Saccharomyces cerevisiae S288C: one gene and its partners. Changing the gene in region 1 together with any one later gene gives a genetic interaction. Each region holds a gene or a part of one and is shown in the gene's direction. Other genes may lie near its edges.

Region 1 (6,947 bases):
AAGAACAGGGCGGCTATTAAGCGTCGTCTTCGTCATTCATAGAGATAGCTGTCTGTGGCTTTTCTTCTTCTGCAACCTCAGGCTTTGCTTCCGGCTCTTCCGCAAATGAGTTGGATAGGAACTCTTTCATTAGGCCAGCCGAGGTTTCAAAATACTCAGCTTGAGCCTTGGCCAATTCCTTCAAATCTTCACTGAAGTTAGCGTGAGAAATAACCTCCTGCAAGCACACAGTAGCGTCTTCAGTGACTTGAGCAAACTGGTCTTCCAAAGTCTCCATTTGGACTCTCAAGGAAGCTTCCTTTTCTGGCTTCTTGTTGTTTGCCAAGTTAGTTCTTGCCACGTCATATCTTAATCTCATGGAATGGACATCCTTGCGGCACTTATCGGCCTTACCGATCTCAAAAGAGAGCCTTTCCCTCAAATTTTTATTGAATTTGGTTTGAATCAAGGTATCTTGTTGAATTCTAGCTTGAGCAATCTTAGCCTGCACATCACTGAATTGCAAGAGTGCCGAAGCCAAGGGTTGTTCCTCGGTGGGGAACATCTTGTTCAAACATTCACTGGAGTTCAAAGCCACTTTACTGAGGGCGTAGTTCAACGTCTTGGGTTCTTTGATGGGGCCTGGAGCAACTAAGATGTTTTGTGCCTCAGACGCAGATGTAGCATGAGTCAACTCTGTCAACTTGGAAGCCACGCTTCTTGAAAACTCGTTGACGGATTCGTTGATGTATTTAGGGTAATCGTACGATCCGTTTTCGTAGATAGCAGTTACACCCAAGAAGTGGTTGTAAATCAGTTTGATGGTGTCAACCTTATCTTCCAGCTCTGTGTACTCTCTTGGCAATTGGGAGATGTCCGTCACCTGGCCCAAACGTTCCTGGACCATTCTTTGGGTGGATTGCGCCAAACTGGGCAATTCCTGGGTTTTTTCGGAAACACTTGTGGATATTTCCTGTAATTTCTTGCTCAAAGAGCTGGCGAAGGCATTAAACGACATTGATGACTATGATTTGTTGCTTATTCCACTCCTCTGCCTACAAATCATATAGGTTATAGGTGAAGAAGGTTGCAATTTTCTTGTTTTTGACATCCCGATTAATCCACCGCTCGCTTCTCACGGTAATAAGGGAAAATGTCTGCCAGTATGAAGCAAACAACATTAAACTGAGAACATTGGTGAGTCAAGACCATAACTGGAAGACGTGGTATCAAGACGCCTTCACGGTAGTATGTGGAAGATTATGCGTTCATGGAAATGTGGGGGAATGCGCTGGGCACATCGCCAGCGACCCTCACACGAGCTGCTGTCGCAACTGTCGTTCGACCAGCATTACAAGATTAGGTCGAACATTGAGCTGCTGATACAGGACTACGCTAGTAAACCAATTGCGCCCCTAAACTACGAGTATTTCCTGCAATACAGGCCGCCGCTGACCAAGAAGGAGGAGTACATGCTGACGATCAAGACAATCAACCTGTTGCTTTCATTGACGTGTAAACGGCTTAATGCCATTCAGAGGCTACCGTATAATGCGGTAATCAACCCTCATATTGAGAGAACCAACTCTTTGTATTTGAAAAGCTTGCAAACGTTGCTATCAATCGCATACCCGTACGAGTTGCACAATCCTCCCAAGATACAGGCCAAGTTCACAGAACTGCTGGACGACCACGAGGACGCCATTGTGGTATTGGCAAAAGGTCTTCAGGAAATCCAATCGTGTTACCCAAAGTTTCAAATTTCGCAGTTCTTGAACTTCCACCTGAAGGAGAGAATCACGATGAAGCTGCTTGTGACGCACTATTTGTCGTTGATGGCACAGAACAAAGGTGACACGAACAAAAGGATGATTGGAATCTTGCACCGGGACCTCCCCATAGCACAATTGATCAAGCACGTTTCTGATTATGTCAATGATATATGCTTTGTGAAGTTCAACACTCAGCGGACCCCGGTCCTAATTCACCCGCCATCACAAGACATCACATTCACGTGCATTCCGCCCATTCTGGAGTATATTATGACAGAGGTATTCAAGAACGCTTTTGAAGCTCAGATAGCTCTTGGAAAGGAACATATGCCCATAGAGATCAATCTTTTAAAGCCAGACGATGACGAGCTGTACTTACGGATACGGGACCATGGTGGTGGGATCACGCCCGAGGTAGAGGCCCTCATGTTCAACTACTCTTACTCTACACATACCCAACAATCAGCTGACTCTGAGTCTACAGATCTGCCCGGCGAGCAAATCAACAACGTCTCCGGCATGGGCTTTGGTCTACCAATGTGCAAGACGTACCTAGAACTGTTTGGGGGCAAGATTGACGTTCAAAGTTTACTTGGCTGGGGCACGGACGTGTACATCAAGCTCAAAGGCCCTTCTAAGACTGCACTACTCTCCAAAAAGTAACAGTGCTAAATTTCCTCGTAAAGCGGTACCATTAAGGGCTCTTTCTACTTCTTTAAATTATCTACATATGTATAAATATTCTTATTATATAAGGCGAAAAAATGAACGAGAAAAAAAAGTGTTGAAAGTATGCATTCAACTGGCTCTTCAACAAGAGACTCAATCAATTAAGCAATCGAAGATGGCTATTGATGCTCAAAAGCTTGTGGTGGTCATCGTGATCGTGGTCGTGCCTTTGCTCTTCAAGTTCATTATCGGACCGAAGACCAAGCCTGTGCTGGATCCCAAAAGGAATGACTTCCAATCATTTCCGCTGGTTGAAAAAACCATCTTAACGCATAATACTTCGATGTACAAGTTCGGGCTACCTCATGCTGACGACGTACTCGGTTTACCAATTGGTCAGCATATCGTAATTAAGGCCAATATCAATGGTAAGGATATTACCAGATCGTATACGCCCACATCGTTGGATGGAGATACAAAGGGAAACTTTGAATTACTAGTGAAGTCTTACCCCACAGGTAACGTTTCTAAGATGATTGGAGAGTTGAAGATAGGTGACTCGATCCAGATCAAGGGCCCTCGTGGGAACTATCATTATGAGAGAAACTGCCGTTCCCATCTAGGGATGATTGCTGGTGGTACTGGTATTGCGCCCATGTATCAGATCATGAAAGCTATTGCCATGGACCCTCACGACACTACCAAGGTCTCTCTAGTCTTTGGGAACGTCCATGAGGAGGATATTCTGTTGAAGAAGGAACTGGAAGCGTTGGTGGCCATGAAGCCTTCCCAATTTAAGATAGTTTACTACTTAGACTCTCCTGACCGTGAAGACTGGACTGGTGGTGTAGGATACATTACCAAGGATGTCATCAAGGAACACTTGCCCGCTGCTACAATGGACAACGTTCAAATTTTGATCTGTGGTCCTCCAGCCATGGTTGCCTCAGTTAGAAGAAGTACCGTGGACTTGGGGTTCAGACGTTCCAAACCGCTTTCCAAGATGGAAGACCAGGTGTTTGTGTTTTAAGATAAGGAACTGTAACAGAGTGCCATATATATATATATAGATTGGAACATATATAATATATACGCTATTTAGTTTAGTCACCTAAACGCACCGTTTCCATATTTCGTGCTGGACGATTTTCGACTCGATAATACGTATAAGATCGGTACTAATAGTAACAAAAGTAAAGGTAATACTTGCTTCAACTGTACAAAGGAGCATAGAACGTGGGGCAATTTACAAGCGATGTCGACGTCAGTCCCAGTCAAGAAGGCATTAAGTGCTCTTTTACGCGATCCAGGAAACAGTCATTGTGCCGACTGTAAGGCGCAACTACATCCACGCTGGGCTTCCTGGTCACTTGGTGTTTTCATTTGCATTAAATGTGCTGGTATACATAGATCATTGGGAACGCACATTTCGAAAGTGAAATCTGTTGATCTGGATACATGGAAGGAAGAACATTTGGTGAAACTGATACAGTTCAAAAACAATTTAAGAGCTAACTCATACTACGAAGCTACTTTGGCTGATGAATTGAAACAGAGGAAAATCACTGATACGAGCAGTTTACAAAATTTCATCAAGAATAAATATGAATATAAGAAGTGGATTGGTGACCTCTCCAGTATTGAAGGGTTAAATGATTCTACTGAACCAGTTCTGCATAAGCCGTCTGCGAATCATTCGTTGCCTGCTTCGAATGCAAGATTGGACCAGAGCTCAAATTCATTACAAAAGACGCAAACACAACCACCTTCCCACTTATTAAGCACCTCAAGGAGTAATACGAGCTTATTAAACCTACAGGTTTCATCGCTTTCTAAGACTACATCTAATACAAGTGTAACTAGTTCTGCAACAAGCATAGGTGCTGCTAATACCAAGACTGGCAACAGAGTCGGTGAATTTGGGCAAAGGAACGATTTGAAAAAATCCATTTTATCTTTATACTCAAAACCTTCTGCCCAGACTCAAAGCCAGAACTCATTTTTCACTTCCACGACACCTCAGCCTTGTAATACTCCGTCACCATTCGTGAACACTGGAATTACCGCTACAAATAATAATAGTATGAATTCAAATTCCAGTTCTAACATTTCATTGGATGATAACGAGTTATTTAAGAACGTCTGGAGTTGAATAAAAAGTAAAAAAAGAAAGCAAATATAGAAAGCAACAAAAAGAACATCATTCCAGTATATTATTTTATATAAAGAAAATGACCTTCAAATAAAAATAGAAAGTACGTATTCTTATCTTTTTTTTTTCTTTTGTATATGTAAAACAATACTATTAGTTTTTGTTTTTTTCTTTAATGGAATGGGTTTCTGAAAAGACTATGTTTCATCTCGTAGTTATCATTGACGTCTGTTGTGGGCCCTGTCCTCGTTTCATTCGTTACCACGTCAATTTTATAGTTTGCCGAATCATTATTGTCCCAATATTCCTTCCTAGAACGATCAACGCCCCAAGTTAAGTATTGAATACAAAACTCCAATTGTGATATATTGCTATCTTTATCATTTGGATTGTGTATATCATCAATGGAGAACTTAAAAATATCCATATTGCTTCCTGGTAAGATGCCATTGGCATTAGAAAAATACACGCATTCTGATTCATGAAAAGTTCTCCATGCATCCCATGTATATCTTACGATAATCTTCTTATCAAAGTATATGTTTTTCACAAAGACTTTGCCAATTATAACCATGTTGTGGAAGCCAGTTAGTAGCGTAATTTCTTGCAAAAAAACGGGCCTTCCACGGGAAAGATTCAGAAATATGTTAAGTTTTAAACTCTTACGGTTCCTGTCACTTAATATTGGAAAGTTCTTGTTGTAAAGACCAACAATTCTTTTAGAGTTTCCAATAAACAAGTTGGCTCCTGATTTAGCAGAATTTGTTCTTGTTTCTAAATAATCGTCGTCATCGTTTATTAACAAATTCTTCAACCCGTGCGCAAGATGAGCTTGGTCTTTGTCTTGTTGCCTTACTAAACGGTTTATAGCGTCGTCACTATCATTGTCATTTTCAATATCACTGTCATCGTCACTTAGTTTAAACTTCTTTTTTTTATTTCTACGATTATTAGAATTTGTACCAAATAGGAATACACCCTTCGGGTTTTGTAGCCATGTATCTCCATATTCGTTTTGGTTGTTTTCAGATAGTAAATCTTCTATAGGTACGCTATCACTACCGCCATTAAGGGCACTTAGTCTCGTCAAAGGCTTATGCTTGAAATTCAGAACATCTTGTTGAACCATTTGTTTGCCAACATCTATGGGTTTCTCATTTTCATTGAACAGCTTTATTGGTAAAACACGATCGAAATGGACACTTTTACTTCTTTGCAATAGCCTAGTATCTACATGATCTAAATTGACATGTTTACTCTTAGAGCCAGTTTTGTTGAATATAGATTTGGGAGTAATGGGTAGGGACTTGGATCTTCTTTTTAATGAACTCTTAACCAGTTCTCCAGATTTCTTGTAAATGGGAGGTGAAGGATTACCATTTTCCTCGGATTCATACTGGAAATTATCATGTGATAGAGGAGAGATTTCGTCTTCCTCCTCGCCTAATTTACTGACGTCTTGATGATGTGCGTTAAAGTTCGCTCCAGAATTTATAAACGGGTGATGGGCATGAACTTGTTTCCCATTAAAATACATTCCCTTATTCATGTCCGTATTTCTTTGAAGCTCGTCCTGAGGTAATCTGTGCAGTTTTACATTAGATAGTCTCCTGGGCTTGTGCAAAAACTCCAGAGAGTTCAGCCTGGCAGGGTGCATGTGCATGCTCATACCAGCAAAAGTTCTTATATTCGCATTTATGTTTCCATAGTTATTGTTGTGGGCACTGTTATTAGGAAGATTTAAAGGTTCATCCATCAGTATATTTTGTGGTTGCGTGGTGGTGGCCATACGGATAAAAGCAATAATACTAGCTAGCTATATTATCTTTTTTTATTTATTATTAAGCTATTACCAAAGCTGGCGCCTCAACTGTTGGGTTCTTGTCTATTTTATGTATATTCTATATTTCAAGGATTACGGAATCGATAAGTATTCTATTATGTAATCGCCTTTATATACAATGGCCGTGCGCGTTTATATAATAAAGTACCTTCGCCCTTTGGATTTATTAGTACTGTTGAGGGAACAATATTGCAGATTATGGATCTTGTACGACATTTTATGCGTACGCCCTCTTCATCATCGCCGTCAATATAATAAGCTTTATCTTCAGTCCCCCCCTTGACATCCCCCTTAGCGTGGGAAGGGCTCCGTGGGGGAGTAATAGCATCTAATGGTCAAGAGTTTTATCGAGACGAAAAAGAGGAAGGAAAAAAACTGAAGATGGAAAAGGCTAGTGATACGCTAGCGATTTATTTTTTTCCTGGAAATAAAATAAATGTAAAATGCTATTATGTATTTTTCATTATATATGTAAGCATATATATTCGAGGTACTACGGATGTTTTTGACCAAGAAAAGACCACACACAGGT
Region 2 (8,253 bases), on another chromosome or scaffold:
TAATTTACCAGACTTCAATCTTCCGTACCTTTTACTTGGCTCCACCGAATCGGGTAAATTGTACATATGGGAGTTAAATTCAGGGATTTTATTGAACGTGAAGCCTATGGCTCATTACCAAAGTATCACCAAGATTAAGTCCATTTTAAACGGCAAGTATATTATTACTTCTGGTAACGATTCGAGAGTTATTATATGGCAAACTGTTGACTTGGTATCAGCGTCCAATGATGATCCTAAGCCTTTATGTATCCTTCACGATCATACTCTACCCGTGACAGATTTCCAAGTTTCTTCTAGTCAAGGAAAATTTTTATCATGTACTGATACGAAACTCTTCACAGTATCTCAAGATGCTACCATTAGATGCTATGATTTGAGTTTAATAGGCAGCAAAAAGAAGCAGAAGGCAAACGAAAATGACGTTAGTATTGGTAAGACCCCAGTATTGCTTGCGACATTTACAACTCCTTATTCTATCAAATCCATTGTACTGGATCCTGCTGACAGAGCATGCTATATTGGTACTGCGGAAGGTTGTTTTTCATTGAATTTATTTTATAAACTAAAGGGTAATGCTATCGTTAATCTGCTACAGTCCGCCGGAGTAAACACAGTTCAAAAAGGTAGGGTTTTTTCCCTAGTGCAACGTAACTCACTAACTGGCGGCGAAAATGAAGATTTGGATGCACTATATGCAATGGGCCAACTTGTCTGTGAGAATGTCCTAAATTCAAATGTGTCATGCCTAGAAATATCAATGGATGGTACATTATTATTGATCGGTGATACGGAGGGGAAAGTTTCTATTGCGGAAATTTACTCAAAACAAATCATTAGAACTATCCAAACTTTAACTACATCACAGGATTCAGTTGGAGAAGTGACCAATCTCTTAACCAACCCTTACAGACTCGAACGTGGAAATTTACTTTTTGAAGGAGAATCCAAAGGCAAACAACCTAGTAATAATAATGGTCACAATTTTATGAAGATACCAAACTTACAAAGAGTTATCTTTGATGGTAAAAACAAAGGCCATTTACACGATATTTGGTATCAGATAGGAGAACCAGAAGCAGAGACAGATCCTAACCTCGCATTACCACTTAACGACTTTAATGCCTATTTGGAGCAGGTCAAAACGCAAGAATCGATATTTTCACATATCGGTAAGGTGTCAAGCAATGTAAAAGTGATTGACAATAAAATCGACGCCACTTCATCTTTAGACAGCAATGCCGCTAAAGATGAGGAAATTACAGAACTTAAGACCAACATAGAAGCATTAACTCATGCCTACAAGGAGTTACGTGACATGCACGAAAAGCTGTACGAGGAACACCAACAGATGCTTGACAAGCAATAAACGGAATAGTCGCGCATTTTGTACAATAAAATAGGAATGTTATTAAAATATACAGCATAGATAGATATAATTCATCACTTGTGCGAAACATCTCATTCTCAATCTGACTGATCATCTATTACGGAATTTTTTCGTTATCAATGACGCATCCCACAATTCCTACCCTTATAGCTTATCTCAGAATATGGGCCGCCTTTAGTTGTATAGAGTTAGTACGGATTAGTCAGTGGCGTACCTAGTGGCAACAATCGGCAGTGACTAAAAATCTTGCTTTTGTTATTGAAAGAATAATAAACAGGAGTTCTCGTTCCTTTGCGTCATTTTCAACCCCATACAAACTAGTTGGCTTGTACCAGAACTCATTAATACTTTTGTCTAACTCTTTCCTATTTCTGATTTTCCAACAGCTCATACCCATTCAAACAAAAAAGGAAAGCTCTACGAAACATTATGTCTTCATTAACTCGATTGCTACAGGAAAAACGAAAAAATGAAACTTCGAACTCATCACCGAGAACTTCTGCTGATACGTTGACCACGACGCCCGAGTCACAATCGCTTGACCTTCACTCTAGGAATAAGAGTAGTAGTCATATTGGTAGCGTGAGTAATAGCAGCAGTAGTGATCGTAATAGGGCTAACGTGCCAGTTCCTGGCAGTGTCACAACTGTTACTCAAATATACTCAGAGGAAGATTCATCATCAACAGCCGGTTCCTCTCTCGACGATAGGAATCAGTTTTCCTCCAGCTTCCTTAATGCAAACTTTGCTCACACTGCATCATTCTACGGCACAAGTGCACAAAGTAGAGATAGATTTGGATCCTTAATAAACGATCAAGGTACTGCAGGACTTTCCTCACATGGTGGTTCTTTTGCTGCACAGAACAGAATCACAAGTAGATTATCTACCACGTCACATACTTCAGGAAGGGCCATTCCTTCTTTATCATCAAGTATACCTTACTCCGTGCCAAATTCTAACAAAGATAACAATAGCTCGAATAGCAACAGCTCCTCTTTGTCTTCTTCGTGGCTCGAAACATATGCAGGCGGTATGCCCAATAATATTTCTGCAATCGATTCAAATGTTATATCCTCCCCAAAAGTAGATAGCGTGGAACCACGTTTTGTTATCTCCAAACAAAAACTCCAAAAAGCATCGATGGATAGTAATAATGCAAATGCCACTCAATCAAGATCTATATCCCGTTCAGGTTCATTCTCTTCACAGCTTGGGAATTTTTTCTTTTCCAAAAACTCAAAAGAATCTTCAAATTCTAACTCTGCAGGCATGTCTTTTTCTGCCAATTCCAATGGTCCTTCTCCAAACATTAAGAATCCCAATGTTACCAATGGTTCGACGCCTATCCCGAAGCCTATCCGCGCAAGACAAAGCAGCATATATTCTGCATCAAGACAGCCAACTGGTTCCTATACTGATAACTTTTACGGTTCCCCCTCATCTGTACATGACCACTTACCTCCAAGTCAAAGTGTTCCAAGGTCACAACATTCTTCCATCGGTGATTTAAAGAGGTTCTTCAAAAAAAGTTCTAACAGTAACCTTTCCTCGAATAGTAACAACGTGATCCCGAACGGATCACCTCTTTCTAGCGGAATTGCCGTTCCGTCACACTCTCATTCATCGTCTCATTTTGCCGCAGGGAATAACTCATATTCCACTAGTTATAACGGAAATGGAGATACTATTTATTCTCATAGTCACGGCGGTTCAGGAATTCCGTTCTCAAAAAGGTACATCAAAACCGGTGCCGATTTAGGCGCTGGAGCAGGAGGTTCTGTCAAATTAGCTCAAAGAATTTCAGATAACAAAATATTTGCAGTGAAGGAGTTTAGAACTAAATTTGAAAATGAATCCAAAAGAGATTATGTCAAGAAAATTACATCAGAATACTGTATTGGTACAACTTTGAATCATCCCAATATCATTGAAACAATTGAAATCGTGTATGAAAATGATAGAATTCTCCAAGTTATGGAATATTGTGAATACGATTTATTTGCTATTGTAATGAGTAATAAAATGTCCTATGAAGAGATTTGTTGTTGCTTCAAACAAATACTTACTGGTGTACAATATTTGCATAGTATCGGCTTAGCTCATAGAGATCTAAAGCTAGATAATTGTGTTATAAACGAAAAAGGTATTGTAAAATTAATCGATTTTGGTGCTGCTGTGGTATTTTCATATCCATTCTCAAAAAATCTTGTGGAAGCAAGTGGAATTGTTGGAAGTGATCCATATTTAGCACCTGAAGTCTGTATATTTGCGAAGTATGACCCACGTCCCGTAGATATTTGGTCTTCTGCAATCATTTTTGCATGTATGATACTGAAGAAATTTCCATGGAAAATTCCGAAATTAAGGGACAATTCATTCAAACTATTTTGTTCCGGACGTGATTGCGACTCCTTAAGTAGCTTGGTTACAAGAACTCCTGATCCACCTTCCTACGATGAATCGCACTCAACAGAAAAGAAAAAACCCGAAAGCTCTTCCAATAATGTATCAGATCCTAATAATGTTAATATCGGGCCACAAAGATTGTTGCACTCATTACCAGAAGAGACTCAGCATATTGTTGGACGTATGATTGATTTGGCGCCCGCATGCAGAGGAAATATCGAAGAAATCATGGAAGATCCTTGGATCCGTAGCATTGATATGTGCCACTTGGTTGAAGATGGATTATCGTTCAAAGTGGTTAGAGGAGAAGACCATCATCACACACAAGTGGATCAAAGTGAAGCACATATTGCAGGCCTAGAAAAGAAAAAGAAAAAGCAAAATAATCAATAAATAAGCGTCCCCACTTTTATTTCTTTTCCAAGCATTTGTATATAACCTTTTTTTATCCTATTTGAGTATATGTTAAAATACAATGTCATATTTACTTCTGTTAAACTAATTTCATATTTTACCGTTCTATAGAAGCCTAAATAGATTGACCTCCTGTTCATAATCTACTATTTTATCAGAAAAATGTAAAAGCTTAGTATGATAATAATTAATGGAAAAGTTCGTTAAAATATCGCGCCACTAATTAATAATAATGAAGCGGGTAACATTAATTGTCTTACCAAGGCGACAATTCCCTTTTCTAAAATTTCACAGCAAAGAAGCTTTAGAAAGTGCAGTAAATCTACAACTCATAAGAAGGAAAAAAAGCGTGAACATTCAAATCGACAGCGTAACCTTCTGTATTTATTTCTGTTTGTTGTACTTTCGAACTCTCGAATACCATAGAGGAACTATTAGTCTCCATAATGTCACAGGCAGCAAAAAACGTGATAGTAAAGCTAATAGTAGGAGCAGGCCAAGCGGCACCATCACCTCCCGTGGGGCCCGCATTGGGCTCCAAGGGTATAAAAGCCATTGACTTTTGTAAGGAATTTAATGCAAGATCAGCAAACTATCAGCCAGGTGTACCGGTTCCAGTATTAATCACAATAAAACCTGATAGAACATTTACGTTTGAAATGAAATCTCCACCAACCGGATATTTGCTGCTAAAAGCTCTTAAAATGGACAAGGGACATGGACAACCGAATGTGGGGACAATGTTAGGCAGTGCACCTGCCAAGGGACCAACCCGTGCTTTAGGAGAGTTATCGCTGAAGCACGTTTACGAAATAGCCAAGATAAAAAAGAGTGATGAAAGGCATAGTTTATTGGAGATGGAAGGTATTGTTAAATCAATAGTTGGCGTTGCAAAAAGTATGGGTATTAAGGTTGTACCTTGATCTGTAAGTAGTGAAAAGACAAAAAAGTACCGTCAATTTCGAGAAATTTTCAACAGACCTTCCTTCTTCTTTCTACTGATCTATTCTGTAAATATGTATATAAGTTTTAAATTCTCTTTCTCCCGTTATGTTAGCAAAGCTCGGTAGTACTGAAGCTATTCTGAGTAAACGCTTCTCCAACTCTGTATACTGAGAGTTGTTTTATAAGTCAATAAAGACCGGATATTTATATGTATATATTGATTTGGTATAATAAAAATGAAATGCTAATAAAAATGCCTATGAAAAGAGGAAAATCCAGGAATATCGAGTTTTTTCATTTGGTGAACTTCCTTTTTTTATTTTTTTTCCATTTTTTTCTGTTATTTTTCTTGCTATTAATCTTCAATGGGCGGTTATTTGGTTCGTTAACAGCCTGTTCCTGTTTGGATTTAGAGGTAACATTACCAGTGGCCATGGCAGATTTCGCCAATGGCAATGGAACCGATTTTGGAGTTAGCCTCGTGTATAGGAGATAATATGCGTTGGGTTCCTTTAAAACGTCCCTTTCAGATATTATATTAATATACTCGTCGTCGTAAGTGGCCCAGCTACCGTCTGGTTGCTTGCAGTGGGCAATGTAGTGACCTGAAGAAAGGGAGCGGCCCTCATGAACCACCACGCTTAATAGTTGGTATTTGACAGGTAGCTCTTTACTCTCACAATATTCCGTCAAATCTAAAAACATAGGATAAGAAACAGCTTGCTTCATTTTTGATGAGGACGTGCCATTGAATCTGAATTTTTTCAGATGCACAAGTAAAGTTTCAGGAGCCCTTAATATTGAACTATGCTTCACGGCGTTCGTGGTCTTGTGACACTTCTCACAAACGTAACCCTTTTGCTCCTTGTCAACCTTGATTAATTCGGGATTGAAGAAATCTTTAATTGATTTTTCAATAGAAAATCTGCGGTTGGCTGAACTTAAATCACTGGCAGCGGCAAATGGTGAGCCATTGTTTAAATTGACAGATGAAGAGGATGAAAGAGATGGTTTTGTGGCAGCATTGGAGGTAGTGGTAGAAGTGGTGGCTGAAGTGCCGTTAATGCTATCACTCGACAGGTCAGAATTTGGATCAAGTTTTTTCTTCCCTTTCAAGTGCAACGATAAATCGTAAAATGGTTGTTCTGTTTTAGATATACTGCCACAAGATTTGCAAGTAACGATCTGCTTTAAAAGACCACCGAATATGTCATATATTATCGATTCTATAAGTTTATGACCCTTGGGAACAGAATCTTCCTGTAATCTTGACATCAGAGACATGAAGTACTCATGTGAATCTTCCTGCTGCCATTCGCTCATCATACAATTAATGTCATCCAATCTGGAAATCAAATGTTTTGGATTAATGTAGGAAGCTGAAACGTTCTTTCTAGGGTTTTTTGAGACCGGTAACCACATTTTTTTACTTGTTTCAGCTAAAGTATAGGAAACGGAATTTTTTGAGATGGTGCTATCGTATTTCCCCATTAGTATATCAAAAAGATAATGTTGTATCGAAGGAATGTGTAACATAGCCTGTACAGCAGCATTTGTGTAACAAGTAACACCATGATTCAAAAGGCCACGAGGCTTCAAATTGGTGAATTTGTCGCCCCAATTTTTAACAATTCTAGTAGAGTTTAAAGAACCACGATCATTGATATTTTCATTGAATTGGTAAAAGTTTGATAGATTTGATATTGTAACCGGAGGGGTGATTGACCTAGATTTATGTTTCAGCTCTTCTTCCTCTTCTTCCTCCTCCTCTCCCTTTGGATTCCTGTTTCCATTTTCTTTGGTGTTGTTTACTGGTTCGTACCGATTTACTTCCACTGTACTATTTTCCATTAAATCTTGATATAAACTCTTTTTTTCGCCTTCAGAAATTTTGGAGCTGGAATCGTTCTCCTCTTCTTCAGGGAGCTCTTTTTCCATAGCACTAGAATCATAATCCATGTCATCCTCATCCTCGTCGTCTTCTATTTCGTCATCACTGCTAATGCTTGTAGACAGTTCCTTTCTTTTTTCCTTTTCATTCTCATTAGATGAATCATCAATGGTTGCTAATGGAGAACCCAAGTTTTCACCAATGTCTTCACCAATGTCTTCACCGATGTCTTCACCGATGTCTTCACCGATGTCTTCGCCGATGTCTTCACCATCGCCCTTATCTGCGTTGTCGCGTTCCTTCAAACTAGCTTTTCGGGGTTCTACATAGTCTCTTGCCTCATGAAATATTTCACCCTCTTCCTCTTCCTCTTTTCCTACTTTGTCATCTTCCGAAGAAGAGGAAGGAGGCTCCGTAGAAAGCTCCGTAGAAAGCTCCGCTGACTTCTTGGCACCAGTAGCATCTGCAGCATCTTTATCATTTTTAGAAGTATACAACAATAAAGCTTCAGCCATAGATTTAGGAACAGTGTTGGTTTTCTTTCCGTTTGGCCTGTCTATCAAGTTATTTTCTTTTATTTGCTTGGATTCGGCCGTTGCAGCAATAGCTGTGCTATTACTATTGTTATTATGCTGTTTTCCTATCACAATATACGAGCTATTTTCCGGCGCGGCGGAAGTATCATTATTATTCGATTTGTTAGAGATCATTGCAGCATTGAACTGCAGGGGATTTGATAGGATTCTATCTACCAAAGGTTTGATCGATTCTTGAGTGGTCATAGTCTGTGATTGTGATATGACAATAGGACGGATTTACAGATACTATGAGTTGTAGATTCTTTCCGTTAGTTTTTCTATGAAATATTATGTGCAGTACAGAACAAAAGAGGCTTCAGACACTATGCATGCTCCTGTGTGCAGTATATGATGCTTAATAGCTTCTATGAAACAAATAAAGGACAGAAGCGGGGATGGAAGACTCTGTTAATGCTTTACAGGGAAGTTTTTCCCGATGGTGGCACTATATAAAAATAAGAACTTTTTTCTTTTCTTTTGGGGATTTTTTTCGATGCGAAAAAAATTTTTTGACGGCATGAGGCAAGAAGTGAACAAAAGAGGTGGTGTCTGGGGGATGCAATTTAACTTCTTACTTGTGCGCGTTCATCGGAGAAAGCTGGCCGGGTGATACACGAATACGGGTT
Region 3 (8,226 bases), on another chromosome or scaffold:
TCATACCGTAAATCCTCACCAGAAGATAGTTGTGAACAGCTACGATTGGTTACAGTTCCGTGATGAGCAAGATCACTGTAAAAGTAAGAACCCGATAACGCACGCTTCTCCAGGGGTCGGTTCGAATGCACAGAATTCAGACATAGCGGAGGCCCCTCAGGTATTCCACCCTTCCTATCAATCTCTGGTCAACGTACCGTCCGAGAGCCCGCGACCTGATCAGACTTCAGGGTCCAATCCTGCCGTTGGACTGCTTCATAATGCAGAGGACAAAGCGTCAGGGCAAGAAGAAGAAGGAAGTCAATATGAGATTCAATATTCGGTATTTCGTCCGCTGCATGCATATCCAACCAAGGGCCTAGCATATGAGCAGCTCCGAAGAAAAGAAGAACAAGAACAGAGGGAAAACTTCAACCATTTGGTTTCTGACTGTATTGAGGCTGTAGAGACATTTGGACGCGAACTCGAGAGAATCCAAACTGGCTCAAGTGGGTCGTACTTTGTGTATGGAACACGGGCCGACGAAAGCGTTCCGGTGGGGGTCTTCAAGCCCAAGGATGAGGAACCATATGGCCCATTTTCTCCCAAATGGACCAAATGGGCACACCGCACGTTTTTCCCATGTCTGTTTGGCAGAAGTTGTCTGATTCCAAACCTCGGGTACATCTGTGAAAGTGCGGCTAGTTTGTTGGATAGGCGACTGGAAACGCATCTAGTACCCTATACAGATACTGCATCTATAGAGTCTTTTAATTTTTATGATAATAGAAAAAAATGGGTATTGGGATACAACCTTCAGAAGAAGAAACAAAAAAAGCTGGGTTCTTTCCAACTTTTTTTGAAGGAGTACATCAACGCCGATGAGTTCTTTCATAAATACCCATTACCTGGGATGTATTCAGATGTTAAACATTCATTTCATCGTAAGTCATCCGGCGAAGATATCAATCATAAACCAGAGACAACCAGGAACCTAACAGATGAGACAGAACCGTCCAAGCAAATAAATTCCTCTCCAATTTCGACGGAATCTGAAGAAAATTCGAAATTTGAATGGACAGAATCAAGTTTGAGTCAGTTCAGATTGGAACTAGAAAAACTAATTATCCTTGATTATATAATGAGAAACACAGATAGAGGTCTAGACAATTGGATGGTGAAACTAATCAAACTTTCAAACAATAAGTGGAGACTCAAGTTAGCCGCCATCGACAATGGGTTGTCCTTTCCCTGGAAGCATCCTGATGAGTGGCGTCTGTACCCATATGGCTGGTTGTATTTGCCTCTGCAACTACTAGCCAAACCATTTTCTGAGCAAATGAGATCTCATTTCCTACCGATATTGACAAGCACTAATTGGTGGGAAGAGTCGTACCAAGAATTCTTGGCCCTATTTAGCAGGGACCAAGATTTTAACGTCCGAATGTGGAAGAAGCAATGGGCAGTATTAAAAGGACAGGCGTTCAACGTTGTCGAAACATTGAAAGACCCACGACAAGGCCCCTTGGAATTGGTTAGAAGGACAAGGTGCCAGGTAATAGATGAGAAGATGCAAGTTCCCTGTTGCCCACCTCCAGTTTCTATTTTCAAAAACGCCATAGACGAACCTATTGGATCATATTCCACTTCACCAATGGTACTCCCTAGCACCCCAAGCACAATTCCATTTCATGCACATAACCAAAGCAATAGTAATCCTGTATACTATGATTCCACTCTGCACCCATTTGCTAATAAAACAGTGATAGCAGAGCGGCTACAAATAGTCAATTCCACCCCCGTATTCACCTGGTGTTGATTTTTTGGAAAATAATTCAATACATACTCAATATAAAGAAATCATAACTCTACTTTAGCATATAGGAAATAGACTCTTTCGAAAAAACCTCTTTCTGTAGTGTTAGAAAGCAACCGGCTATTATTTTTGTGTGTCTTCGAAAAATCGGAACCCAAACAGATCTTAGCGGATTCATGGTAAAAATAGCCTTGAAGAATTTAGGAAAATAAATAGATACTCAAAAAGGAATAGAGGATCTTAACAAATCATTACATTACTTAACTCACATTAAAAGCAAACACCTTTCTTAAGCTGTTGGTGCAAAAAAGGATTACATCTATTGCCCTTATGAATTTGTTTTGGCCATCGGAAACCAAAAAGCAAAATGAAATACCTGGTGGCGATTATACACCTGGGAACTCACCTTCAGTACAAAAGGGTTATCAATTCCTCAATCGAGACATATTTAAAAGTTGTCCACGAATTATGGAAAGGCAGTTTGGTGAGTGTCTGCACAATAGAACGCATTTAATCAAGGATTTAATTTCTTCTGGCAATGTTGGACTAGGTCCCATTGAGATTGTTCACATGTCCTACTTAAACAAACATGAAAAAGAAGAGTTTGGTGAATATTTCTACGTTACAGGGATCGAAGTTTCCGGTCCTGCAATGCCCGTAGAGTTTCTTGAAGTGCTAAAATCGAGTAAGCGGATTTCCAAAAATATATCGAATAATATCATATTGACTTATTGCTGTTTTAATTTTTTCAGCAATCTAGACATCCGTATTAGATACGATGCTGACGATACTTTCCAGACAACGGCAATTGACTGTAACAAGGAAACCACTGACCTGACCATGACAGAAAAAATGTGGGAAGAAACGTTCGCAAGTTCTGTCATCCGAGCGATAATAACAAATACTAATCCAGAGTTAAAACCTCCCGGTTTAGTAGAGTGTCCATTCTACGTTGGAAAAGATACTATCTCCTCTTGCAAAAAGATCATAGAATTACTCTGCCGATTCTTACCACGGTCACTGAATTGCGGGTGGGATTCTACCAAGAGTATGCAAGCCACCATTGTCAATAACTATTTAATGTATAGTTTAAAAAGTTTTATTGCAATCACGCCAAGCCTAGTGGATTTTACAATCGACTACCTGAAAGGACTTACCAAGAAAGATCCAATCCATGACATATACTACAAGACGGCTATGATCACAATTCTAGATCACATAGAAACAAAGGAGTTAGACATGATAACTATTTTAAATGAGACGCTCGACCCCCTTTTATCTCTGCTAAATGATTTACCGCCTCGCGATGCTGATTCAGCACGATTAATGAATTGCATGAGTGACTTGCTGAACATTCAAACAAATTTTTTGTTAAACAGGGGTGATTACGAACTAGCATTAGGCGTCTCTAACACATCAACCGAACTAGCCTTAGACTCTTTTGAATCTTGGTACAACCTAGCGAGATGCCACATCAAAAAAGAGGAGTATGAAAAGGCTCTCTTCGCAATAAATTCAATGCCTCGTTTGCGCAAAAATGATGGACACCTGGAAACAATGTACAGTAGGTTTCTTACCTCCAATTATTATAAAAAGCCATTGAATGGTACCCGCGAACACTACGACTTGACTGCAATGGAATTCACGAATCTCTCGGGAACGTTGAGGAATTGGAAAGAGGATGAGTTAAAACGGCAAATTTTTGGAAGAATCGCAATGATAAACGAAAAAAAAATCGGTTATACAAAGGAAATCTGGGATGATATTGCGATAAAGTTGGGTCCGATTTGTGGTCCACAATCTGTGAATCTGATTAATTATGTCTCCCCTCAAGAGGTCAAAAACATAAAAAATATCAATTTAATAGCAAGGAATACGATCGGCAAACAATTGGGATGGTTTAGTGGTAAAATATATGGGTTATTAATGGAAATTGTGAACAAAATTGGTTGGAATGGCTTATTAAACATCCGAACAGAAGCTTTCATGATGGAAACTGAATTCTATCAAGCTTCTAACAACATTATCGATGAAAACGGTCATATACCGATGGAATCCCGAAAGAAAAGGTTTTGTGAAGGGTGGCTAGATGATTTATTTTTAGATTTATATCAAGACTTGAAATTGAGCAAGATTAGCCTAAGCAATAAAGATGAAAAACACAGCGGATTAGAGTGGGAACTTTTGGGTTTGATCATGCTGCGTACCTGGCATTGGGAAGATGCCGTAGCTTGTCTAAGAACAAGCATAGTAGCTCGATTCGACCCCGTAAGTTGCCAGCAGCTGCTAAAAATATACCTGCAACCTCCAAAAAATATTCAAGAGGTTACATTACTAGACACAGATACCATAATAAGTTTATTAATTAAGAAAATATCATATGATTGCAGGTATTATAATTATTGCCAGATATTTAATCTGCAACTGCTAGAAAAGCTATGCAACGAATTGGGGACGCATATACTGCGTAATAAGATCCTTCTTCAACCTTCCATAGGAGACGAAATCATGGTCATGATCGATGCCATGCTTGCGTGGATAGCCGACCTAGATCACACAGTACAACCTTGAACAAAACGGTGCTCTTAGTATTATTATATAACCACTACGGTTGGATGGACTGAGGGTAAGGGTAACCGTATACCTTTTATTTTTTTTTTTACATTTTGAACTGGGAAGAAAATTTTTTTTGCGAGGGATTGACGGCTAACGCCAAAACACTCCGAAGAGAATGAGAAAAGCTTGGGCATCGCTCGAAGTCATCGAACGGGACTATTTTTGTTTAAAATTTCACCAGATCTGCTTGATAAGGGTAGTTTAGCTTGTGTATTTGGGAAAGGTACGCAAAAGATATATTTTACTAAGATCTTTAAATATTTTTAGCTTGAGGTAATACATGCTAATTTTAGTTGATTAGAGATTCTGAAAAATTCGTTTTAGTTAGTGTTTAAGAATAGTGGCGTTTATCGTTTTGCCCATTTAATAATTAGGAAAAAATATGTCAGGGTCCTTTTGGAAGTTTGGACAAGATTTTGGTTCACAGTCTCCATTAGCTAAACTGTTGAACAGGGCTTTCATTAAGATCGATGATAAGCCCACTAGTACGGAAGCAGGGAAAATTGACTCTAATAGCACAGATGAAAGTTTAGAAAGCAATTCTTTTAAATCAGAAGACGAAGAAGAAGAATATGAGCTGCCTAACAGAGAAGAAGACTACAAAGCTTATAAGCCAAACCTGTCTCTACTGAATGATCTTTTAGATGATGAGGAGTTATATACAGAACTGATGTGCTCGAACTTCAAGCTACTAGTGTACTTGAAGTACCCTGAAGTTTTGTCCAAATTGATAGATTATGTCAGAAATAGTACCATACTTGAGTCCAATATTGATAGAGTTACTTCAGAAGACAGAGATTTAGTACGTGGTGAAGACAAGGACACAACGGAGGACTTTGAGAATGCTAAAGCAGATAAGAAAAACATTGATGGTACTTTTGAAGAAAAAGAACGTACTCGTAGTGGTGAAGAAGAGGAACTGGAAAATGAAGAAAATGATAGTGCATCTGAGGATACTAGAGTCACTCTACCTCATGAACTAGAGGAACATGATGATACGCGAAGAGCCAGAATAGCGGCCGAAATATTGTCCGCTGACGTGTGGCCCATATCATCTGCTTTGATTGAAAACGAAGGACTTCTCGCTAAGCTTTGGTCGATCCTCAGGCTACCTTCTCCATTGTCAATTGAAGCGTCAACATATTTTATGAAAATAAACGAACGCCTCTTGGATATGAATATGGACGGAATAATTGAATTCATATTAAAAAAGGAACACATTGTTGACGATTTTTTAGCACATATAGATAATCCGCCTTTGATGGATTTTTTATTAAAAGTAATATCGACCGATAAGCCAGAAATATCAAATGGAGTTATACAACTGTTTAAAAAACAGAACTTGGTTCCAAAGTTGATTCATTTACTCGATCCTGTTTTTGATTCTTGCACACAATCTGCAGCCGGTGATTTTCTGAAAGCTCTGGTTACTATTAGCGGTAACTGTCCTAATGAGATTACTTCGAGCATAGGGCCTAATGAATTAACAAGGCAATTAGTTTCTCCAAATATGATGAAACAACTTATGGATATAATGCTCAAGGGAGGCAATTCGTTAAATAATGGCGTTGGCATTATCATTGAGCTGATAAGGAAAAACAATTCTGATTATGATACCATACAAACAAATTATACTACCATAGAATCTCATCCGCCAACAGATAGAGACCCAATTTATTTAGGATATTTGGTTAAAATGTTTTCTGAACACATGGCCGATTTCAACAAAATACTAACTGAGAAGAAGATTCCCCTTTTACAGACGTCCTATGGAACGATTGAACCGTTGGGATTTGAAAGGTTTAAGATCTGTGAACTTATTGCTGAACTATTACACTGCTCAAACATGACTTTATTGAATGAACCGAGTGCCTATGACATTGTAAGAGAGCGTGATGCCGAAAGAGAGAGAATCTTCAATTCACAAAATTACGTAGATTCTAACGATCGTAGTGAATTAAAAGAAAATGAAGACGACAATACAGGTGATGCTGATGATGAAGTGGAAGATGATACAAATCAGGTAGAATCCGCTAATACCTCCATTGATGGTGAAGAAGTTATCGATAAGTTAAATTCTTTACAGATAGAAACCAACAAAGTAAACCAGAACATGAATAATGAAGAGCAACATAGTTTAATGCCAGACTTCAACAATGGTGATTTTAAGGACGAGGAAGATGAAAATCCATTTGAACCCCAATATTCAGACGTCATTTTGGATTCTTCTGATATAGAAAAAAACTTTCGTGTGTCTCCCAACGTTGGAGATCAGCTGAAAATCAGTTTACAAGATACCAGAGTAATAGATACTATGCTCGAAATGTTTTTTCACTTCCAGTGGAACAATTTCCTTCATAACGTAGTGTACGATGTTGTTCAGCAGATTTTTAACGGTCCCCTCAAAATAGGTTATAATAGGTTCCTTTTAGATGATCTCCTAATCAACATCCGTTTAACTGATATGATTATTAACGGAAACAATGAATGCATAGAATATGAGAAAGGACATGACACCAGGCTTGGATATATGGGCCATTTGACCCTAATTGCGGAAGAAGTCACCAAATTTACTGCATATATTGAAGAGATGAACATCACCTTTGAAAATACTGAAGTAATGAGTTCTTTATTTGAGAGTAAATGGATTGCCTATACGGAGGATGTTCTAGAGGATCTAAAGGAGAAATACAACGCCATATTAGGCGATATAGCTGAAGAAGGAGACATGTTGCAAGATGAAGAAGAGGATGCTGTATACGACAAGGGAGAGCGCACTATGGGTACAGTCGATGACTACATTAATGACATAATGCAAATGGACAATGTACGGTGTCAAGAGGAGGAAGAGGATGAAGGAGAAGGGTATGTCAGCTTTGATGAAGATGAACCCCAAGAATATCGTAATGGTGATTCCGTTAGAAGCAAAGAATCGAATTCATCAGAAGGCAAACGTGACCAAGAGCAGCTTTACTATGAGTACGTTAACGAAGATGGTACAAAAACAAGATTAAACTTCAATCCTGATTCTGACGCCACGGAACAAGTTCCAGGTGAAGTGAATCGCGATCATAAGATACCATTGAAGCTTAAGCGAAGTTTTACGGATGCATGCAAATCTGAAACAATACCAAATAATACAGTTAATGCTAAGGAAGAAAGTGTATTTCAATTTAGCAATGAACTTAGTGACGGCTGGGAGTCATCACCTTCTAATTCTATACCCAAGCGTGCTTCTCCATCAAAAAATGGCATGAATTCACCTATGTTTCAACACCAGTTTGAACTTCATAGCCCCACCGATGAATTTGGAGGTCATAAAGACGAAATATTAAGCGCGGAAGGCCATGACTACGACATAGATGAATACGATGAACTGAGCGATGACAGTGATGAAGAGTATGATAACTGTGAAGACGAAGACAGTTTGGATTATGCTGATTCCGCCGCATATGCATTGTGTAGATCCAAAAGTAAGGACAAGATATCATGGGATGAAGAAGAACAGGCGCGATTAATGGGCGTTGTAAAATTTAATTCAGAGCATTACAGGGACTAGGAAATAATACTAATTAAATAATTCTAATAATTCTAATATTAATAACAATAATAATAAGAATAATAATTATACAATAACACATGTATTTCCTAACTCACAATCGTTTGGACTACATATGCTGTCTAGTGCCTTATTGCGACTTTGCCCGTTTGATAACTTACTTCGATTGTTTAGTATTCAAAAAGGAAAAAGGCGTTTTCTTTTTCGTGTACTTTTTTTCGAAATTCTGTTGAATTTATTCGAACTCAGAATTGGT
Region 4 (7,822 bases), on another chromosome or scaffold:
TTCAATCTCATTGATTCTTTGCTTGGCTTCTGCAGTGGACGAGAACTTGGCCTTTTTGCCTAACTTCTCCTCAATTTGGTTGTTTTTTCTCTTGATTTGAGCATCCAATTGCTTAATAGAGTCGTGAATGTTGCTTCTACGGGTTTTCAAGTCAGCTTGGATCTTGATGATCTCCTTGTTCTTATCCTGTAACTTCTTACGTTCTTGTTGGGTGGTATCGTTGACCTGGTGTTGATCGATTTGCTTTCTAATTAAACCGATTTCAGTGTCGATTTTTTTCAATTGAACGTTAAGAGTGTCCAATTTCTTGTCTCTAACGGAGACATCTGGGCGCTTGAACTTGTGTTGTTGGGAGGACATGGCAATGGCTGTGTTGTTAGAAAATATGCTATTACGTTGATAAAAGGAGGAAAGGTGAAATCAGTTCAAAAATGTGAATGAAACTGAACGAAGAAATGACCAGAATGAGTGAAAAATGGAGATGGAGGGGCAAAATGAAAAAAAAAAAAAGGATGAACCTAAAATAGAAAATAGACTCCGTCGTACTTTAATGCTATGTATAACGCAACCAAGCAATTTTCGAAACTCAATTTGGCTTATAAATGTTCGAGATAAAATGCGAATTACGTGTTCAACGTCGTCGAGATCAGTTATTTTTTTTCACCGCCACAGTGCGGGTAAGCAATTTTTCGCGTACCACCACCATTACACATGTATAATGTATATAGGCTTATTATGTATGTTTGTGCTACTTTATATGACGGTTATTTACAAGTTAGAATATTATCTATTAACAATGCAGTAGCCACGCTTACGTTTAGTGAGTCAACAATGGGTTCTGGGGCCCGATTGCCTTTCTCAATGCCACCAAAGGGAATTTCGACGAAGAAGTCACTCCTCATCTTCAAATTCGTTCTTACGCCCTGGCTTTCGTTCCCCACCACTAGAACAACAGGCAGCTCGTTACATAATCCGTTCAAATCGTGCATGCTAATAGTTTTTCCAACAGTGTATTTTTCTGACGTGGCATTAGCTAAGTGGCTTGTAATAAACGTCCAGCCACCCATTTCTTGTGATTTAGTAAAAAACTCTAACGGTTTATCAACGTAAAATATGGGCAGAAGTTCGAGGGCCCCACTGCTTGTCTTGGACACCACAGGCGTCAAAGGAGAGCAGTTTCTTCTCGACATCACAATGAAGTCAACCCCCAGGAAGTAAGCGCTTCTAATAATGGCACCGATATTGTGAGGGTCAGTTATTTCATCCAGATATAACCCGAGAGGAAACTTCTTAGCGTCTGTTTTCGTACCATAAGGCAGTTCATGAGGTATATTTTCGTTATTGAAGCCCAGCTCGTGAATGCTTAATGCTGCTGAACTGGTGTCCATGTCGCCTAGGTACGCAATCTCCACAGGCTGCAAAGGTTTTGTCTCAAGAGCAATGTTATTGTGCACCCCGTAATTGGTCAACAAGTTTAATCTGTGCTTGTCCACCAGCTCTGTCGTAACCTTCAGTTCATCGACTATCTGAAGAAATTTACTAGGAATAGTGCCATGGTACAGCAACCGAGAATGGCAATTTCTACTCGGGTTCAGCAACGCTGCATAAACGCTGTTGGTGCCGTAGACATATTCGAAGATAGGATTATCATTCATAAGTTTCAGAGCAATGTCCTTATTCTGGAACTTGGATTTATGGCTCTTTTGGTTTAATTTCGCCTGATTCTTGATCTCCTTTAGCTTCTCGACGTGGGCCTTTTTCTTGCCATATGGATCCGCTGCACGGTCCTGTTCCCTAGCATGTACGTGAGCGTATTTCCTTTTAAACCACGACGCTTTGTCTTCATTCAACGTTTCCCATTGTTTTTTTCTACTATTGCTTTGCTGTGGGAAAAACTTATCGAAAGATGACGACTTTTTCTTAATTCTCGTTTTAAGAGCTTGGTGAGCGCTAGGAGTCACTGCCAGGTATCGTTTGAACACGGCATTAGTCAGGGAAGTCATAACACAGTCCTTTCCCGCAATTTTCTTTTTCTATTACTCTTGGCCTCCTCTAGTACACTCTATATTTTTTTATGCCTCGGTAATGATTTTCATTTTTTTTTTTCCACCTAGCGGATGACTCTTTTTTTTTCTTAGCGATTGGCATTATCACATAATGAATTATACATTATATAAAGTAATGTGATTTCTTCGAAGAATATACTAAAAAATGAGCAGGCAAGATAAACGAAGGCAAAGATGACAGAGCAGAAAGCCCTAGTAAAGCGTATTACAAATGAAACCAAGATTCAGATTGCGATCTCTTTAAAGGGTGGTCCCCTAGCGATAGAGCACTCGATCTTCCCAGAAAAAGAGGCAGAAGCAGTAGCAGAACAGGCCACACAATCGCAAGTGATTAACGTCCACACAGGTATAGGGTTTCTGGACCATATGATACATGCTCTGGCCAAGCATTCCGGCTGGTCGCTAATCGTTGAGTGCATTGGTGACTTACACATAGACGACCATCACACCACTGAAGACTGCGGGATTGCTCTCGGTCAAGCTTTTAAAGAGGCCCTAGGGGCCGTGCGTGGAGTAAAAAGGTTTGGATCAGGATTTGCGCCTTTGGATGAGGCACTTTCCAGAGCGGTGGTAGATCTTTCGAACAGGCCGTACGCAGTTGTCGAACTTGGTTTGCAAAGGGAGAAAGTAGGAGATCTCTCTTGCGAGATGATCCCGCATTTTCTTGAAAGCTTTGCAGAGGCTAGCAGAATTACCCTCCACGTTGATTGTCTGCGAGGCAAGAATGATCATCACCGTAGTGAGAGTGCGTTCAAGGCTCTTGCGGTTGCCATAAGAGAAGCCACCTCGCCCAATGGTACCAACGATGTTCCCTCCACCAAAGGTGTTCTTATGTAGTGACACCGATTATTTAAAGCTGCAGCATACGATATATATACATGTGTATATATGTATACCTATGAATGTCAGTAAGTATGTATACGAACAGTATGATACTGAAGATGACAAGGTAATGCATCATTCTATACGTGTCATTCTGAACGAGGCGCGCTTTCCTTTTTTCTTTTTGCTTTTTCTTTTTTTTTCTCTTGAACTCGAGAAAAAAAATATAAAAGAGATGGAGGAACGGGAAAAAGTTAGTTGTGGTGATAGGTGGCAAGTGGTATTCCGTAAGAACAACAAGAAAAGCATTTCATATTATGGCTGAACTGAGCGAACAAGTGCAAAATTTAAGCATCAACGACAACAACGAGAATGGTTATGTTCCTCCTCACTTAAGAGGAAAACCAAGAAGTGCCAGAAATAACAGTAGCAACTACAATAACAACAACGGCGGCTACAACGGTGGCCGTGGCGGTGGCAGCTTCTTTAGCAACAACCGTCGTGGTGGTTACGGCAACGGTGGTTTCTTCGGTGGAAACAACGGTGGCAGCAGATCTAACGGCCGTTCTGGTGGTAGATGGATCGATGGCAAACATGTCCCAGCTCCAAGAAACGAAAAGGCCGAGATCGCCATATTTGGTGTCCCCGAGGATCCAAATTTCCAATCTTCTGGTATTAACTTCGATAACTACGATGATATTCCAGTGGACGCCTCTGGTAAGGATGTTCCTGAACCAATCACAGAATTTACCTCACCTCCATTGGACGGATTGTTATTGGAAAACATCAAATTGGCCCGTTTCACCAAGCCAACACCTGTGCAAAAATACTCCGTCCCTATCGTTGCCAACGGCAGAGATTTGATGGCCTGTGCGCAGACCGGTTCTGGTAAGACTGGTGGGTTTTTATTCCCAGTGTTGTCCGAATCATTTAAGACTGGACCATCTCCTCAACCAGAGTCTCAAGGCTCCTTTTACCAAAGAAAGGCCTACCCAACTGCTGTCATTATGGCTCCAACTAGAGAGTTGGCCACCCAAATTTTCGATGAAGCCAAGAAATTTACTTATAGATCCTGGGTCAAGGCCTGCGTCGTCTACGGTGGTTCTCCAATTGGTAACCAACTAAGAGAAATTGAACGTGGTTGCGATCTTTTAGTCGCTACTCCAGGTCGTTTGAATGACTTGTTGGAACGTGGTAAAATTTCTTTGGCCAACGTCAAGTATTTGGTTCTAGATGAAGCTGATAGAATGTTGGATATGGGTTTCGAACCTCAAATTAGACATATTGTCGAAGACTGTGATATGACTCCTGTTGGTGAAAGACAAACTCTGATGTTCTCAGCTACTTTTCCCGCTGATATCCAACATTTGGCCCGTGATTTCTTAAGTGACTACATCTTTTTGTCTGTTGGTAGAGTCGGTTCTACTTCAGAAAACATTACTCAAAAAGTCTTATACGTTGAAAATCAAGATAAGAAGTCAGCCTTATTGGATCTATTGTCTGCATCCACTGACGGTTTGACTTTGATCTTTGTCGAAACTAAGAGAATGGCAGATCAATTGACCGATTTCCTGATCATGCAAAACTTTAGAGCTACCGCCATTCATGGTGACCGTACCCAATCTGAGAGAGAACGTGCCTTGGCCGCCTTCAGATCTGGTGCCGCTACTTTATTGGTTGCCACAGCTGTCGCAGCTAGAGGTCTAGATATTCCAAACGTCACCCACGTTATCAACTACGATTTACCAAGTGATGTCGATGATTACGTCCATAGAATTGGTAGAACTGGTCGTGCCGGTAACACCGGTCTTGCCACTGCCTTTTTCAACAGTGAAAACAGTAACATTGTTAAAGGTTTGCATGAAATTTTGACTGAAGCTAACCAAGAAGTCCCATCATTCTTGAAGGACGCTATGATGAGTGCTCCAGGTAGCAGAAGCAACAGCCGTAGAGGCGGTTTCGGTCGCAACAACAACAGAGATTACCGTAAGGCCGGAGGCGCTAGCGCAGGCGGCTGGGGCTCTTCAAGAAGCAGAGATAACTCTTTCAGAGGCGGTAGTGGCTGGGGTAGCGATTCCAAGTCTTCTGGCTGGGGTAACAGCGGTGGTTCAAACAACTCTTCTTGGTGGTGATTTCAGACAAACTAGGGTGAGGATTCTTCGTTTTCTGCTCTAGCATGTCTTATATTTTCTTTCTCCAATCACTTTTTTTATCCAAGTCCTGAAAATACTGTGTTGTTTGTTTCTCTCTAGCCGTTGATTGGCCCCATATTTTTTTTATTTTCTCACTGGGAGCCACTAATCTGTTACTTTTTTTCCACTCTTATTTTTTATCCATCGTTTTTTTGTTTTTTTTTTCTTTCATGGTTCTAATATTATTTTACAATTGTACTATAAAATGCCTTTGCTAATATTAACTAAAAAACTAAAGATTTCACTATGATTATAAGCAATTAAGATTTTCATCTTTTAGTGAAAAGATGAAGGAATTATTATCTACTTTTACTATATTTTCCACTATTTTTGCTTAATTGCTTTAACCGATCTATTCATTGGACTGATTATTTACATTATCTTTTATTTCCACTTCCACTTTTTCAGTTTTCTTCGAATAGAGACTTTATTTTGAACAGTTTTTTCGACCTTTTTTGTTTGTTATTGTTTCTTTTTACCTTACGAAAATATTCTTACTGTTCACAGTACCATTGTATAATAGTATTCATTTCCTTCCTACATTTTCTCTCCCTTTTTTGAGTTGAGGCCTTTTTATTGACTCGCCTTATACTCTACTTTATTTGTGTTTTGTAGATAGAATAAACATCAACAGTATAATTCATAATACTTTCTATTGCTTATTTCCTGTATATTCGTTTTTGAATATACTTTGTTCCCAACTTTCTTTTTAGTTTACTTACATTCATATTTACATGTGCGTTACTACTTATTGGTGCAACCAAGTGAACAGCGAGTCTTACCATTGGTAGTACCAATAGGGATTCTTTTTTTTTTCTAGGTGTTGAACCAAATCATAAGGATCATCGTCGACAAATCTTCTAGCAGATAAATCTTTCTCGGTTTTTTCTAAATACGACTTCTTCACTGCGTTCAAAGTATCAGCTTCATCCGGGGCCATCTCATACAGGGAACTGATGATCGGTCTATCTCTGGGACAGCTTGACTCTTTACCATTTGTTTCAATGTAACGCTGGTAGCCAGACTCAATCAAGTTTTCTAGCGGTTCCCTTATACCTACTTGGATACCCCTAGGTATCCATATCTCATGTAGTCCTTTGAACTCATACCTCCCAGTTGTCCTTAATAAAATATATCCTATATCTTTCAGAACGATCTCTATACTTCCAATAAATGGAGGTATTGCGTACCTTTTGTACTGGCTTTTTTCGCATATAACGCTTTTAATTCCACAATACCGTGATAACGGATGTGTGCCAGATGATGAATTGCACGAGTTGAATACATCAATACCTTTTTCAATGTTCTTGAATGTTTTTGATGGTCCTGGTATGTATTTCACAATCTGATTTATGGATCCTTTCGGAGGTACCAGGTAGAAAATCCCTCCCACGGTATAACAGCCTCCCTGTGATGTGCCCTTCATAGACTCATAAGTCTTCTGTTTTATATGCTTCCGATTGAATAAATCGGTTTTTCGCAGCCTTTGAAGCCAACGCTCGTCGATTAGTTCTTCTAGGCGTAATCTGGAGGTGGAAGTTGAATAGCCTGGAAGATCAAAAAGTATTTTACCTCCAACTTGGTAGGCTTGTACGGATCTAGTTAAATTGGGAATATGTGATACACCAGCAGCTTGAATCTTGAAAAAATTCTTCGGGTTCGTAAAAGCTTCTTGCATCACTTCTTCAGAGGGGGAGTTAATTTTCCCAGTAGAATCAATTTTAACCTTATATCCAAGATATTTCTGTAGTAGAGTATTGATCAAAGTTGATTTACCAACATTAGGGTTGCCTAGCAAATATGTGTAGTTTTTAAAGTAGTTGTAAAACATGGATATGTTCCAGTTTTTCAGCGCAGATATGGCGAATGTTTTATTTGAGTCAATTCTTAAAGTGTTCTTTAAAAATTGCTTCATGAATATAGGAACCTTTTTGCTGACAGCATTTTTATCTTTAAAAACTTGATCGCTTTTCGTTAACACTAATGTAGTATCTAAATCATTTCGTTTCAAAACATTGGGGTCTAAATGTAAGGGAAATTCTACAAAGGGGACAATATGCATAACATTTGAGCCTCTGGGGACGTAGTTCAGAATATCATTTAATGTGCTTTCGGGAAACTCTTCCGGGTTATAATTGTTATGATGAAGGGCATTACTGCACCTTTTGCAAATCACTCTCAATAGTAAATCTCTTTTGGTTTTGAGGTCAGGATCATTTTGAGTTGCCTGTTTCGAGAGCTGTATGTCTTGACTGAATAGCAAATACTTCAGATCTTGGAGGTCAGGATTTAGTTTTGAGTCGGGTAGACTTTTTGGCTTCGTATAATATCCTGGTTTACTAGGATCCTGATCCTGTAGTTTTATGGAACATGACGCACATTTCACTTTCACAATCACAGAACAGGAAAACTGACGTACGCCTCGAAGAGCATGACACAGATTCAACATTCCCGCATATTGAATTGTTCAAAGTAATTAGACGTGTTACTAGGAAGGTCCTTCGTTAATATTGCTCTGTTAAATGTATCTTGACCCATAACATCAAATAGTAGTTATCATCTTCGACGAGTTTTGAAAAATTTTCTGAATTTTTTCTTCCGATGAGATGAGCATGATATTTACAGAGAAAATAGAGAAACAGAATACTTGTACATGGGTAAATTCATTTATACTAATTTTTGAATTGTAAGAGAGATAGAGAAGGTCAACAATAGAATAAGTGGAGATGGGTAAAGTTTCTA

What was found.
Region 2: mutations in AGE2 (region 1) and NPR1 together harm fitness more than expected from each alone (negative genetic interaction), as found in Saccharomyces cerevisiae (2 studies listed by BioGRID).
Region 3: of AGE2 (region 1) and CHS6, changing one suppresses a phenotype caused by changing the other (phenotypic suppression), as found in Saccharomyces cerevisiae (one study listed by BioGRID).
Region 4: mutations in AGE2 (region 1) and DED1 together harm fitness more than expected from each alone (negative genetic interaction), as found in Saccharomyces cerevisiae (2 studies listed by BioGRID).

The regions. Positions count from the first base shown.
Region 1 is NC_001141.2:270,575-277,521, reverse strand, and holds AGE2 (GTPase-activating protein AGE2), read left to right. Parts: upstream 1-3,675; coding exon 3,676-4,572; downstream 4,573-6,947. Other genes in the region: GVP36 (Gvp36p), read right to left, coding at 17-997; protein kinase PKP1, read left to right, coding at 1,230-2,414; CBR1 (cytochrome-b5 reductase), read left to right, coding at 2,596-3,450; putative protein phosphatase regulator PIG2, read right to left, coding at 4,745-6,361. UniProt on the Saccharomyces cerevisiae protein: GTPase-activating protein for the ADP ribosylation factor family.
Region 2 is NC_001146.8:289,076-297,328, reverse strand, and holds NPR1 (serine/threonine protein kinase NPR1), read left to right. Parts: upstream 1-1,819; coding exon 1,820-4,192; downstream 4,193-8,253. Other genes in the region: chromatin-binding/pre-rRNA-processing protein IPI3, read left to right, coding at 1-1,369; YNL184C (uncharacterized protein), read left to right, coding at 4,446-4,772; mitochondrial 54S ribosomal protein uL11m MRPL19, read left to right, coding at 4,660-5,136; ubiquitin-specific protease UBP10, read right to left, coding at 5,453-7,831. UniProt on the Saccharomyces cerevisiae protein: Nutrient-regulated protein kinase that promotes the activity of at least 6 distinct transport systems for nitrogenous nutrients under conditions of nitrogen catabolite derepression.
Region 3 is NC_001142.9:237,289-245,514, forward strand, and holds CHS6 (Chs6p), read left to right. Parts: upstream 1-2,125; coding exon 2,126-4,366; downstream 4,367-8,226. Other genes in the region: 1-phosphatidylinositol 4-kinase LSB6, read left to right, coding at 1-1,798; SAP185 (Sap185p), read left to right, coding at 4,794-7,970. UniProt on the Saccharomyces cerevisiae protein: Member of the CHS5-ARF1P-binding proteins (CHAPS) which mediates export of specific cargo proteins, including chitin synthase CHS3.
Region 4 is NC_001147.6:719,706-727,527, forward strand, and holds DED1 (DEAD-box ATP-dependent RNA helicase DED1), read left to right. Parts: upstream 1-3,205; coding exon 3,206-5,020; downstream 5,021-7,822. Other genes in the region: BFR1 (Bfr1p), read right to left, coding at 1-360; MRM1 (Mrm1p), read right to left, coding at 765-2,003; imidazoleglycerol-phosphate dehydratase HIS3, read left to right, coding at 2,241-2,903; GEP3 (Gep3p), read right to left, coding at 5,859-7,529; mRNA-binding ribosome synthesis protein NOC2, read left to right, coding at 7,807-7,822. UniProt on the Saccharomyces cerevisiae protein: ATP-binding RNA helicase involved in translation initiation. Remodels RNA in response to ADP and ATP concentrations by facilitating disruption, but also formation of RNA duplexes.